Linked DNA regions of Ovis aries. The protein of the gene in region 3 purifies or fractionates together with the protein of the main gene of each other region. This does not show direct contact. Links are inferred from orthologs where the notes say so. Each region holds a gene or a part of one and is shown on either strand. Other genes may lie near its edges.

Region 1 (3,743 bases), on a different chromosome or scaffold from region 3:
AGAGCAGGTTTATCCACGAACAGTGAATGAGAGGGCCCCTCCCCACCAGGCCACGATGCACAGGCCCACATCACAGCAAGATTCTTCCAAGAGCCATGGAGAACCCGGAACGAGCCTGGAGATCCAGAGAACTAAACCTTTTTGGAAAATAAAACAGACAAGAAAATATCCCAGTGCACAGCACACAGCACTGGCGAGCGGTTCTTCCTGAAGCTCGTGTTTCAATTATACTCTAACACCCGAGCACTGGGTCCAGTCTACATGTAACAGGTGTTTCTTCTTGGGGGTCAAGGTCAAAAGAACCGAAAGCCACTTCTCTAAAGGGAGTGTATGGAGAGTCTGCTTGGAATCACACACATTGTCCTACTGCTCGCTGGCTGGCTGACCTTCGAAAGGCTCATAGCCTCTCTGTGCCTCTGCAGTCCATCTTCAAAATGACCATCAGCAACTTAGCAAGCTGTCCAGTGGCTCAGTGAACATCAGACACATCACAAAAGCTTGACCTTCCCCAAGGTTCTTCACTTTTTCTGGGCCTCCAACTTTTACATTGAAAATCTGAAAAAATGTTCAGTGTAGTGGCTAAGACTTGCTGGGTTCCTTCAGAGGGATGGACGGGGAGATTCTCACTCACCCAGGTGTGGGGGCTACCCTGCCACATCATGGGTGGGTGCTGCCCACCCGTTCTAAGAAGCCAAGTCTGTCTGCCCCCAGGACTGTGACTGTGACTGGAGCCCTGGGCCTTTCCCCACCAGGGCTGAGTCACCTTCCAGTTAAAACCATTACAGTTAAAACCATTCTTCTATCAAATTGCTGACAGCAATTTAAAAGTTGCTCTGGCTCAGCCTTGGAGAAGCTTTCTAACTAAGTGACATCAGAAAACAAGACAGTGAGTATTCACAAGGCACAGGACTGTTAGTGAATAGAAAGTGTTAAGGGATCCAAATGGATGAGAAGAGCCTGAAGAGGTCCGGCCAAAGCCCCAGCAGCAGGAGTCTTGGGAGGGCCAGGGCCCACAAAGGGCAGGACCCAGCCGGCAGGGCCTTCAGCCCGCTGGAGCCTGGTGGACAAAGGGGACAGGATATGCCCTGTCCAAGTGGCAGGGCCAGCGGGAAATTTAGAAGCCACGTGCCTGGCGGGAGAAGGGAAAAAGCTTACCAACATTTGACCACTTTCTTGCCTCAGCAAGCTAATCGCCCTTCTACTCTGCATTTCCCCCAAAAAAGTTCTTTAAAAAATGTGTTACTGCTCTAAGTTTTTCAGAACTTTTCTAAAGAAAGGGAGGCCGGCTAGTGAGAAAAGATGCTAAGGAAATCAGCACATCTCCTCACCTTCCTCTAGTTAACTGTAAAAGGCAATTAACACTTGAATAAGGAGCCTGTGTGTCTGGAATGAAAATGAGACGCGCGCAGGTTAGGGTTTTAGGGCGCCTTCCTATCCCTCTCTGTCCGCGGTCCTAACTACCAGCAAGAATTGGCCAAAATTCAGCATTTCCAGACTTTCCTTCGGAGAAGGGGCCGCAGAAGTGCTGGCAAAAAGAAAAACGAAACTGAGAGCGCTCCAGGCTCGCCGCGGCTCGGTCTGCGCCCAGCGGCCGCGCTCCTCCCCGCGCCGCCCGCACCCCGAGTTCAGCGCCCCCGGCCGGGGCCTCTCCGCCCCCGGGCGCTTCGAGCGCGGCCCCGGCCTCGGCCCCGCCGGCCCCGCGCGGCGCAGGGGCCCAGGCGCCGGGCGCAGGAAGCCGGGCAGGCGGGCGCCCGGGCCTCGGGCCTACACGCGCGCCGCCCGGCCCAGTCCGCGCTCCGGCCCGGTCCCAGCCCGCCGGGCTGCGGCGGAGACGGGGCGCGGGAAGGGCCCAGGCCGCGCGGGGCGCCCCGACGACTCGGGCCCGAGGAGGAGGCCGGGGCCGCGCGTCCGCGCTGGGGCCGAGGGAACGGCCGGCAGCCCCCCGCGCCCCCCAGGCCCCCCGACCCCCCGGCCGCGCTCCCCCGCCCGCCCGCGCCGCGCTCGCGCCCGGCCCGCCAACCGCCGCGGGGAGGAGCGCGCGGACTCACCGGGGCCGGCTCCGGAGTACATGGTGGCGCCGCCGAGGGGCTCCGGGGCCGAGGGGCGGCCGCGCGCGCGCCACGGGCCCCGACGCCGCGAGCCGCGAGGGAGCCGCCGGCCGCACGATCCGCCCCGGCGCGGCCGCCAAACAGGTTTACCCGACGCGGCCGGGGCGGCGGGCGGAGGCGGCGGCGGCGGGCGGGCGGGGGAGGGGGGGAAGGGGAGGGGAGGGGGAGGGGCAAGGGAGCAGGCGGGGGAGGGGCGGGGCGGGGCGAGGGAGCGGGCGGGGGCGGGGCGGGAGAGGAAGGGAGGCGCGGGAGGGGCGGGGCCCGCGCGGCGGGGGCGGGGCGAGGGGCGGGGCGAGGGCGGGGCGGGCCCGCGCGGCGGGGGCGGGGCAGACCAGCGCGGCGGCCGAGGCGGGCGCCGGGCACGGCGGACGGGGCCGGCGCCGGCGAGGGTGGCGCGAGGCCCCGTAGCGGGGGCGCACGCGGGGCCGGGGGGACCCTGTAGCCACTCAGAAGCGCGACGCCTCCTCCGACTGGGCGGAGCAGGCGGCGCGGCGCTGCCCCCTCACCCCCGTCGCCGAGACCGGGAAGAAAGAAAAGAAAACATAGCCCTCGCCTCCCCGCGCGCGCGAGCGGACCCTTCCCCATCCCGAGCCCCCACCGCGCCGGGCGACCTGGGGCCCCGTGTGGACGCGGTGCCGCCCGCGCCCCAGGGCCCCGGCATCGCAGCCGGGCTCTTTTAAGCGATAAAGGAGGAAACAGGAATGTCGCGAAGGTTCCTCCGGACCCGGAGCTTGAACTTGAACGCGCCCGGGTCCTCGCACACTACCACACCGCCACCTCCCGGCGGAGAACCTACCTAGAGAATCCCTGTAAAGAGCTTCAGGTTTTGGTCAATTTTAGCCGCTATCCGTGATCAGATCAAACTGTAACTCCTCATTCCAGCCCTCGGGGCCTCCCCTGTTCCTTTACGGACCCCCTCGTGCTCCGCCGTACATCCCTGTGTTCGCCCCCCTCGTGCAGAAACGTTCTCCCTCCAGCCAAACCCTTGCATCCAGTTTTCGCTTTTCAGAGTCATTTCCAGGGAGGCCAGCCAGAGGTCAACACCTTTCTCCCCTGCTTGATGAGGGATTAGAAACCGGAAGGTGAAATACAATCCAAAATTGCTTGTCATCTTTTTAACATATTTGCCTGCTCCTTTCTTCCTCGGGTAAGCAAGTATTATCTGACACCGTGTACCTGTGGCTGTGTTCCGCTGGCCTAGCATGGTACAAAGATGAACGGGAGTTCTGCCTGCAAGCGTCCAATAGGTTTGTTTCTCTCTCTGCAGTTCTCAAGGACATTCTTAAATAAATGCACGAGAATCCACCTGCCCTCCAGAAAGAAATGTCAGAAGGCTTCCATCTTCACCGAGTAATCGATATGAATGAGGGGGTCCCATGGCATCAGCCTCAGAGATGTCCATTCTTCCCCATCTAATCCTCTGCCCACCACCCCCACCCTCATAGCCACCCAGACCACCTCTCCACCTGACCCTCATGCTGTGGAAACACAAATCCACAGGTGACCCTAGGCAGCTACTCAGCTGAACGTGTGTTTAGGAGCCCAGGTGGCCTGGGTAAGAAGGTACGCCAGGGTGGGACTGGGTACCATCCCGACGTGCCATCAGCCTTAGAACAGGTGATGAGAAGATGTTTG
Region 2 (3,743 bases), on a different chromosome or scaffold from region 3:
GCTTCTCTTGAGTTCCTAGCATCTGGTGTAAAGTAGGCATCAAAAATACAGATGGATTAATATATATGAATGAATATATGGAAAAGTGATGTTTGAGCTGGGTCTCTCAGCACCTATCAGTTGATGCAGAGTGAATAGGAGAAATGTTCCTAGAAACTGAGACTAACAAGGAGGTGACTGTGATACTTTTGTCAAGATATGATAAGGGCCTGCATCAGCACAGGGAGCCTTCACAAGCATGTCAGGAGACCATATGAGCAGGTAAACAGGTCAGGACTTTGTGAACTGCTGTATAGGGTTAGAAGCAAGGGAGAGAGAGAAGCGGTCATTTCTGGGATGAAGGTGCCCTTTGTAGAGACAGGAGGTATAGGGCAAGCACTTTTGTGGGAGCAAAGATAAGAGTTTGGTTTTGAACTCTTAAAATTTGAAGTGCTGGTAGATCCAGGTGGAGCTGTCCAGCAGACACTTGGAAATATGAGTCTGAGACATGGTTGGAAATAGAGATTTGGAAGGATAGTTAAGCCATAAGAATGGATGAGACCTTGAAGCAAAAAAGTGGAGATTAGAATGAGAAGACAGCTAGGTTTGAAAACAAGGTGAACACTTTTTTTAATGGATCAAAAACAAGAGGGGGGGCTCTTGAAGAAAACCGAAAAGGACTTAGGCAATAGGAGACCTCAGAAAATGCTGAAGCCAAATAAAAGACTCAAAAAGGAAGGAGAGGCACAGTGTCAGATGCTGCAGCAAAATAAGAATTGAAAATTATCCTTTGAATTTTGACACAAAAAGTGTTTTAAGTGAGGTGGTGAGGTCAGAAGTGGATTGACTGAATTCAAGCGTGGGCTGTAAGAAAGTGGAGAGGTGCTTCCCAGCCCGTAGGTAGAGCTCAGTAGATGCACTTAAGTTGAGACGGTGACATCTTCCAGGGTAGGCAGGGTCTCTTTCATATCTCTGGTCTCAGCGCCCAGTACTCGGCCTGGAAGAGAGGGTGGCGTCAGTGAGTTCAGTGACTAGGGACGGAGAAAGGCTTCGCGGAGGCAGTCGCTTTGCAGCCGAGGCTTGAAGGATGAGGGTGATTGGGAGGAGAGGTGGGAGGCAGGGCCCCTGGGTGATGGGGCTCTCGGAGTGTGTGAGGGTGGCCTGGGAATGAGGTGGCAATATGCGCGTGGCCCTGTGCGAATGGGGGGAGGTTGTGTGTAGGCTTGGAGGAACGTGTTTGGGGAAAAGACAAGGCCGGAGGCTGCTGCGGGGTGGGGGTTGGGGGTGTGTTGTCCTCCCGCCCCGCCCCACTTACGCCACTGCGCGGTTCCGCGGCGCCTTTACCGGAGCCCTCCCGCCGGGCTGCATGGCGATGGGTGACCGCCAGGGGCCGCTGCCTCCGGTCCCCGGTGCCCCCGCCCCTCTCCATTGGCCTTTGTTGCCGTCGGAGCGCCCCGTTTGACTCGTTCCCGTCCGCCCCCTGGGCCTGGCGGTCGCGCCTGCGCACTGGCAGCTGGCCGGGCGCTCGCAGGGGGAGCTGCTGCAGGCTCCGCGGCGGCGGCGGCAACGGAGGCTGCGGGGGCGGCGGCGCGAGCGGCCGGGCTTGGGGGGGCAGCCGAGCCCGGCCCGGGAGCCCAGGCAGCAAACGTGCGGGGTACCTAGGCCCCTCACGCTGGACTCCACAGTCTCCGGGCCGCCTGATCTCCGCACGGGTATATGGGATGGAAGCGGGACCCTCGGGAGCAGGTAAGGGCCCCCAGGAGCGGGGACGGTGCATGCTCCAAGGACTAGGGGACTCTCGCGTGAAGAGCAGGGTTTCGGAGTGAGGAAGGGTTTCCTGAGTGGGGAACGGGGCTCTTCTGAGATGGGGGGCCCAGTTTGAAGGGGGTTGTGTGCAGTTCCGGGGGAAACCTTGCGAAGGGAAGCTCTGAGACGGGGGCCATTTATCAAAGGAGCCTGTATGCACTCGTGGAGGTAGGAAGTGCTTTGGAAGAAGGGCCTGAACGCACAGGAGGACTCCTGGAGGTACCAGGAGGCCTAGGGAGAGGCCCGGCAGGTGGCAGGGGGCGGGCTCCAGGTGTCCAGGAGAGGGAGGTCGACACAAATGGGCCCAGAGCTGCCGCATGCCCTGGGCGGGGGCTCAGCCGGTATGGGTTGGGCTGGGTTGATGTCTTTTGGGAGAAGGCGCCAGAGCTGGGCTGTGAGCTCCGCCCCAGCCGGGCCTGACGCGGGGGCGAGGGTCAGGGGGCAGTGGGTGGGGATCCAGCCCTGGGATTCCCCCCCTTAAGTCTGGGAGCTGGAGTGGAGGCGCCGGAGCATGCGCGTAGGTGGCAGCTGGAAGGGGCTGCCCGATGTGGTGGGGGCGTGGCCGCCCGAACCCCCCTACCCTTAGCCCCGCCAGGTTGACTTGGTAAAAGGGGAGCGCTGATGGCTTGTAGTCTCTCTTAGGTTATGCTGGCAGGACACAAATGGAAATGGGTCCCTTCCCCATCTTGGGGGTCTTAGGCTTGACTCTGAAACCTTCAGTCTCAATTTGCCAAGACTAGGTTGAGGGAGATGGACAAGTTTCTTATTCCGCCACTAGGATGAGGAAAGACGGATGGGAGCAATGTTTTAGGTTAGGGACAGGTCCTCCTTGAAGACAGGCCTTAGAGAATGTATTGGTTGCTGAGGGACCAAGGCCAGGACCTGGTTTCCGTAGAAGGGATTGTTTGCCTGGTTTGCATGTTTCTGGTTCAATGGTGAGCAGAGTTGGGATCTTTTAATCCAAGGATAATGACCTCTCTATTGAATGTTTCCTGAGTTGACAGCCTAATCTTTCTATGCCTTAATGTTTTTATGGTTGCTTTCCCCTACTGGGTATCTTTTCTTTTTGCTCTCTCTACTCCCCCAGAAATTGTCAGAGCCATGTTATTAGACCCAGCGTTGTCAGGCGAGCCTTTTGTCATATATAAGTTGTATGGGATAGGGGGAAGTTTATAGCCTTCACCATAGTGTGTCCCAGGTGATAGCCTTAACTTCTTATTCACCATCAGGAGAAAAGGAGATTAGAGGGGAAACTGAGGCAAGACTGTCCCGAGAAGGCCAGAGTTCCTGGATGGGGTGAGGGTGGTGGCACCTCCTGTGTCCTAGGCGTCTTATCTTTTTGGTGGGAGGAGCAGTCTGGAATCTTTTAGATCTGTCTCACTACTTCCGTTTGATCTGGAGGGGAGAATAGAATTTCTATTTGGGACATGAATTTTATTTCATTTGGGACATGGATTTCATTTCTGGTTGAAGCAAGCATCTTTGTCTTTTATACCAGATCTTATACTCTTAAGGAAATAACTCCTGCCACTTCATTCAAGTCATTCATTCAGTGATCTTTAAGTACTTAGCGACTACTTTCACCAAGATGGAAACAACCTTGTAAAGGCTGTATAAGCCTTAAGGTGGAATGCAGGGGTCAACTGACTTCAGAAAACTATTAATGCTTCCTTTTTCCCTTAGGCTCCTCTCTCCCTTCCATGAACTCTCTTGGTTTTCTGGGCTGGAGACTACTTGCAGCAACCCCTGGGACTAGAGTAGTAGGACACGGAAGTCCAGACGGATTGGTGGGAGCTGGCACCCATACCAGACTGCTTATGGTTTTATTCTGATGAATTCCGTGTGGTCTCGAGAGTGATGAAAAAATTGACTTTTTGTTTTTGGTTGTTGTTACAATAAATAAGCTTCTAGGGAAGGAACTAGAGCCTGGTATCTGGAGTTGGCTGTAGCCTAATGGG
Region 3 (3,643 bases):
CAGGGGAGTGTCAGACACACTGATGGGAACTCTCTTGCTATCAGACGCAGCATAAGGAGAAGTCGACCAGTGCTTATGGGAAAATGGAGATAACTTTGGGCTCCGTGTCCCTGCTGGATTTATTAATACACGGTGCTTATACATCTTGTGTTATAAAGTAACAGTGTTAGCCATCAAGCTTCGTAAGGAAGAGGTTTCCACTTGAAATCTCTTTGAACTGGAAGTGAATTGGCCATTTACTCATCCATCTCAGCCAATTTTTCCTTTCCTCAAAATGTTTGGTAAAAAGACTGAATTCATTCCCCAGGACCTTTTTCCTGGCACAAACTCCTGACGCTATAAAGCTTGGCACACCCTGTTTAGGCTTGAGGATCCAGTTGGCAGAAGTGATGAGCTGAGCTGTGAGGTTACAGAACATAAACGCGGGTTTAGTTGCAGAACTGAGGAGGGCACTAGCTTGCCTTCCCTCGAGGCCTACAGATGCAGGCCCTCTGTGAGTGCCAGGGCTGACGGACCTCTCTCCTCAGCGTTCTAGTAGCAGAAAGAACAGCCAGCTTACCCGCGATGCTCAGCACTAGCAAGGTCACTCGGGTATTTCCGAAACGTTAGTTTAGCTTTCCGGCTAACATGGCCTGTGGGGAGAGGCCTCCTTGTCGGTGGTTCTCTGAAGTGATAGGATTCCACGCATGCCTGTGGCTCAGGTCGGAGGGCAGCGTAGACCTCTTCCTTCAATGCAGGGCATTCCTGTGGCGAGGCAGCAGTGTCAAAAGCAGGGCGGTCGCAGGCCTCCCCGCGGCTGGGGACGGATGAGTGAGGCAAAGGGGCTCGAGGCTACGGGACCTGGAGCCTGTTTGAGGTAGTGGGGGTCGGGGGAGACTCGCCCCTCGGGACACTGCGTGTGGCTGCAGGGCTGTGCCAAGCGAAGGGGTGATTCGGTGTGTTTGGGCTTGTGGAGGGTGGGCAAGCATGGCCATCCAGGCGGTAGAAGACCTTAGAAAGAGTCAAGGCTGCTCAGCGCAGAGTGGCGCTTCCTGACCGGTGTCCAGTGTCAGCCCAAGGTCGCTGGCACCTGGGGCACGCAGGCCATCTCCGCCTTTGCACCTGTGTGCCGTGATCGGACACAGGCGTCCTGGAGGGCAGGGGAGTCCCGAGGGCAGAGCCGTGCTGTCGGGACAGACGTCAGGGCAGAGGGAAGCCAAGCCTCCGAGGCCCTGGCAGAAATGGGACGTCAGCAGGACAGAGCCTGTAGTGCCCTGTGTGACCCAAGGGCGAGTCCCAGTCAGCTCCACCGCAAGACCAAGCCTCGCCCAGGAAAGGGCCCCCACCTCCTGGTCTTATCTGAGAGGAGGGAGCAGAAGGAGCGGATCTCTATGTAGAACCCATTTACAGGAAGCCCCACAGCCTCAGGGCCAGGAGTAAATGGCCGTGGCCAGATCCCGCAGACCACCCCTCTCCGGGACCCCCTTGTGTTCCCCACACGCGGGGCTTCAGGCACCCCGGGGGCTGAGCTTGCTCCGGGCCCAGCCACAGAAGGCTGTTGTATTCTTGAGTGATTAGCTTAGTCTAAACTACAAAGGAAAAAGATTTGAGAAAATATGCCCTGGCAGGAAACGCCACTGACCTCCTGGATGTTGGCTTGTTCATTTTACATATTTTCTTAATGGAGTTTTCTGTTTTCTTTATTGAGTACCTTAGGTTTTGGGGTTTTATTTACAGTTTTGGGTTTTCTTTTCATTGGTGTTAAGCTCTGATTTGATGTTAAAAATTCACTTTAGCCATATATTTGTTTGAATATTATTTATAGTGCTAACCGTTATGAGGTGAATATTAGCCAGATGGTAAAATGCAGTTGTGCCATCGCCTGACAAATTGATACTAAAAAGGAAAATTAGCCATCATTTTATGGGATAGATTCCACTATTGCACTAAAAATGTCAAACTAGAACACGGTAAAAACCCAAGTGCTCTACTATTAACTATAAACGAAGTACCATGTTGGGTTAAATAGTCTATAATTTGGAATCTCAAGTTGATTGCATTTTGTTGGTAAATAAGAAACAGAGAGTTTAGGAACTAAGGTTAGATTGTCAGTAGAGCTGATGTCTTTTAAAATCAAAGACCTGCAGATTACAAATACATCCTCACGTTCATCAGCTCTGGTGCCCTGTTCTGAGGAGGTCAGTTACACCAGGGCTGCCGTGAACAGCCGTACAGGTTGTAGACTGCACAAGCCTGGGAGGTGCCACACGCCTGGCAGTCCCTGAGGTTGTTGAACACACCGTCCCAGGTGGGGCCCTGCATCGGGGGCCCCATGTCTTTTGAGATTCTGTTCATGGTGGTAAACTTGACTACCAGACTGCTCTGTGCCCTGTACCCTCTTCCAGCCAGCTTGCGCACACCACCCAAGTCCCTTCCCAAGTCTGAAGAGCTCTGGTCCATCCCACTAAAAGCTTAGCACACTGTTGCCCTGCGTCATCCTTCTCCTTCTTCTGCTTCCTGCTTTCCTCAGAGAACAGACCTGGTGACGCGGAAAATGCACCGGCAGGGGTGCTGGGGGGGCCCACCCGTCAGCCCGCCTCCCAGGATAGGAACAGGGTCCTCGGCAGCAGGAGGGGCGAGCCTGGAGGCCCAGTGGCGCATGTCGACGCAGTCAGCCCCCCTCCCAGGATAGGAACAGGGTCCTCGGCAGCAGGAGGGGCGAGCCTGGAGGCCCAGTGGCGCATGTCGACGCAGTCAGCCCCCCTCCCAGGATAGGAACAGGGTCCTCGGCAGCAGGAGGGGCGAGCCTGGAGGCCCAGTGGCGCACATCGACGCGGTCGCCAGTGCCTGTTTCTCCTGGATGTTTTGCATTCAAGAGAGAAATACGAACCTTGGCAAGGAGTCAGGGAAAGCACCGGTCTCTTTAAAGCAAAATCTGTAACAAAAAGCTTGGAGATTTATTTCATTTTATTCAGTTTTGTAAGTATTGTTGGAGGTATGAAAAGATGGAGGTCGCCCTGAGTTTTTATTTTTATCTTACCTGGAAGGGGAAATCCACGGGATCCTTCCAAACCCTGACGTGTTGTTGAAAACACTCTGTGGCCATTCTCTCCTCTCCAGCTTCCTGGTCTCCAGCACCCCGCACCCAGCCCCTCTCCAGGGCCTCTGGCAAGGCCCCGGGCGCCCCAAGGCGCAGTGCGCCTGTGTCTTCCTGTCCTCACTGTGGTCGCGCTTGTTTCCCACCACTTCCATAAACGCAGCCTGGGAGACTGCTTCTCGGGTGCTGGGGTTCCTCACGCCGGGGCTGAGTGGCTCCCCCCGCGGGCCCGTGCTCGCCTTTCTCAGAGTGCCGCCTTTGGTTCCGCAGGGTCCTCCCCACCGTCATCTCAGAATGCCGCGCTGCCTCCCTCGAGTGCCTGGCCGCTCGCTGCCTCCGGCCACAGTCGCGCTTTCAGCAGCCTCGCACCCGCTCCTGCTGTTGCAGGTACGCACCTGGCCTCTCGATGTGCTGGTCGCCTTCTCTCTCTCTCCCCAAATAAGACTGATGGCCTGGCTTTTCCTGGTGGTCTGTTTGCTCCCCTCCAAGCTGGGAGGCCACATGGAGTGATGGAGAGTGAGCCTGAGCTTTGCCGAGCAGCCACAGGGCCTCGGGCACCGCTCACCC

Evidence for each region.
Region 1: the proteins of TNRC6C (region 3) and AGO2 purify together in Homo sapiens (co-immunoprecipitation; 6 studies listed by BioGRID and IntAct, with this or other methods). This does not show direct contact. The link is inferred for Ovis aries from reciprocal best matches to the Homo sapiens genes TNRC6C and AGO2.
Region 2: the proteins of TNRC6C (region 3) and protein argonaute-1 purify together in Homo sapiens (affinity purification with mass spectrometry; 5 studies listed by BioGRID and IntAct, with this or other methods). This does not show direct contact. The link is inferred for Ovis aries from reciprocal best matches to the Homo sapiens genes TNRC6C and AGO1.

The regions. Positions count from the first base shown.
Region 1 is NC_056062.1:15,983,532-15,987,274, reverse strand, and holds the start of AGO2 (protein argonaute-2), read right to left. Parts: upstream 2,197-3,743; 5' UTR 2,071-2,196; coding exon 2,049-2,070; intron 1-2,048.
Region 2 is NC_056054.1:10,821,640-10,825,382, forward strand, and holds the start of protein argonaute-1, read left to right. Parts: upstream 1-1,490; 5' UTR 1,491-1,700; coding exon 1,701-1,725; intron 1,726-3,743.
Region 3 is NC_056064.1:53,388,753-53,392,395, reverse strand, and holds part of TNRC6C (trinucleotide repeat-containing gene 6C protein), read left to right. Parts: intron 1-3,346; coding exon 3,347-3,463; intron 3,464-3,643. UniProt on the Homo sapiens protein: Plays a role in RNA-mediated gene silencing by micro-RNAs (miRNAs). Required for miRNA-dependent translational repression of complementary mRNAs by argonaute family proteins.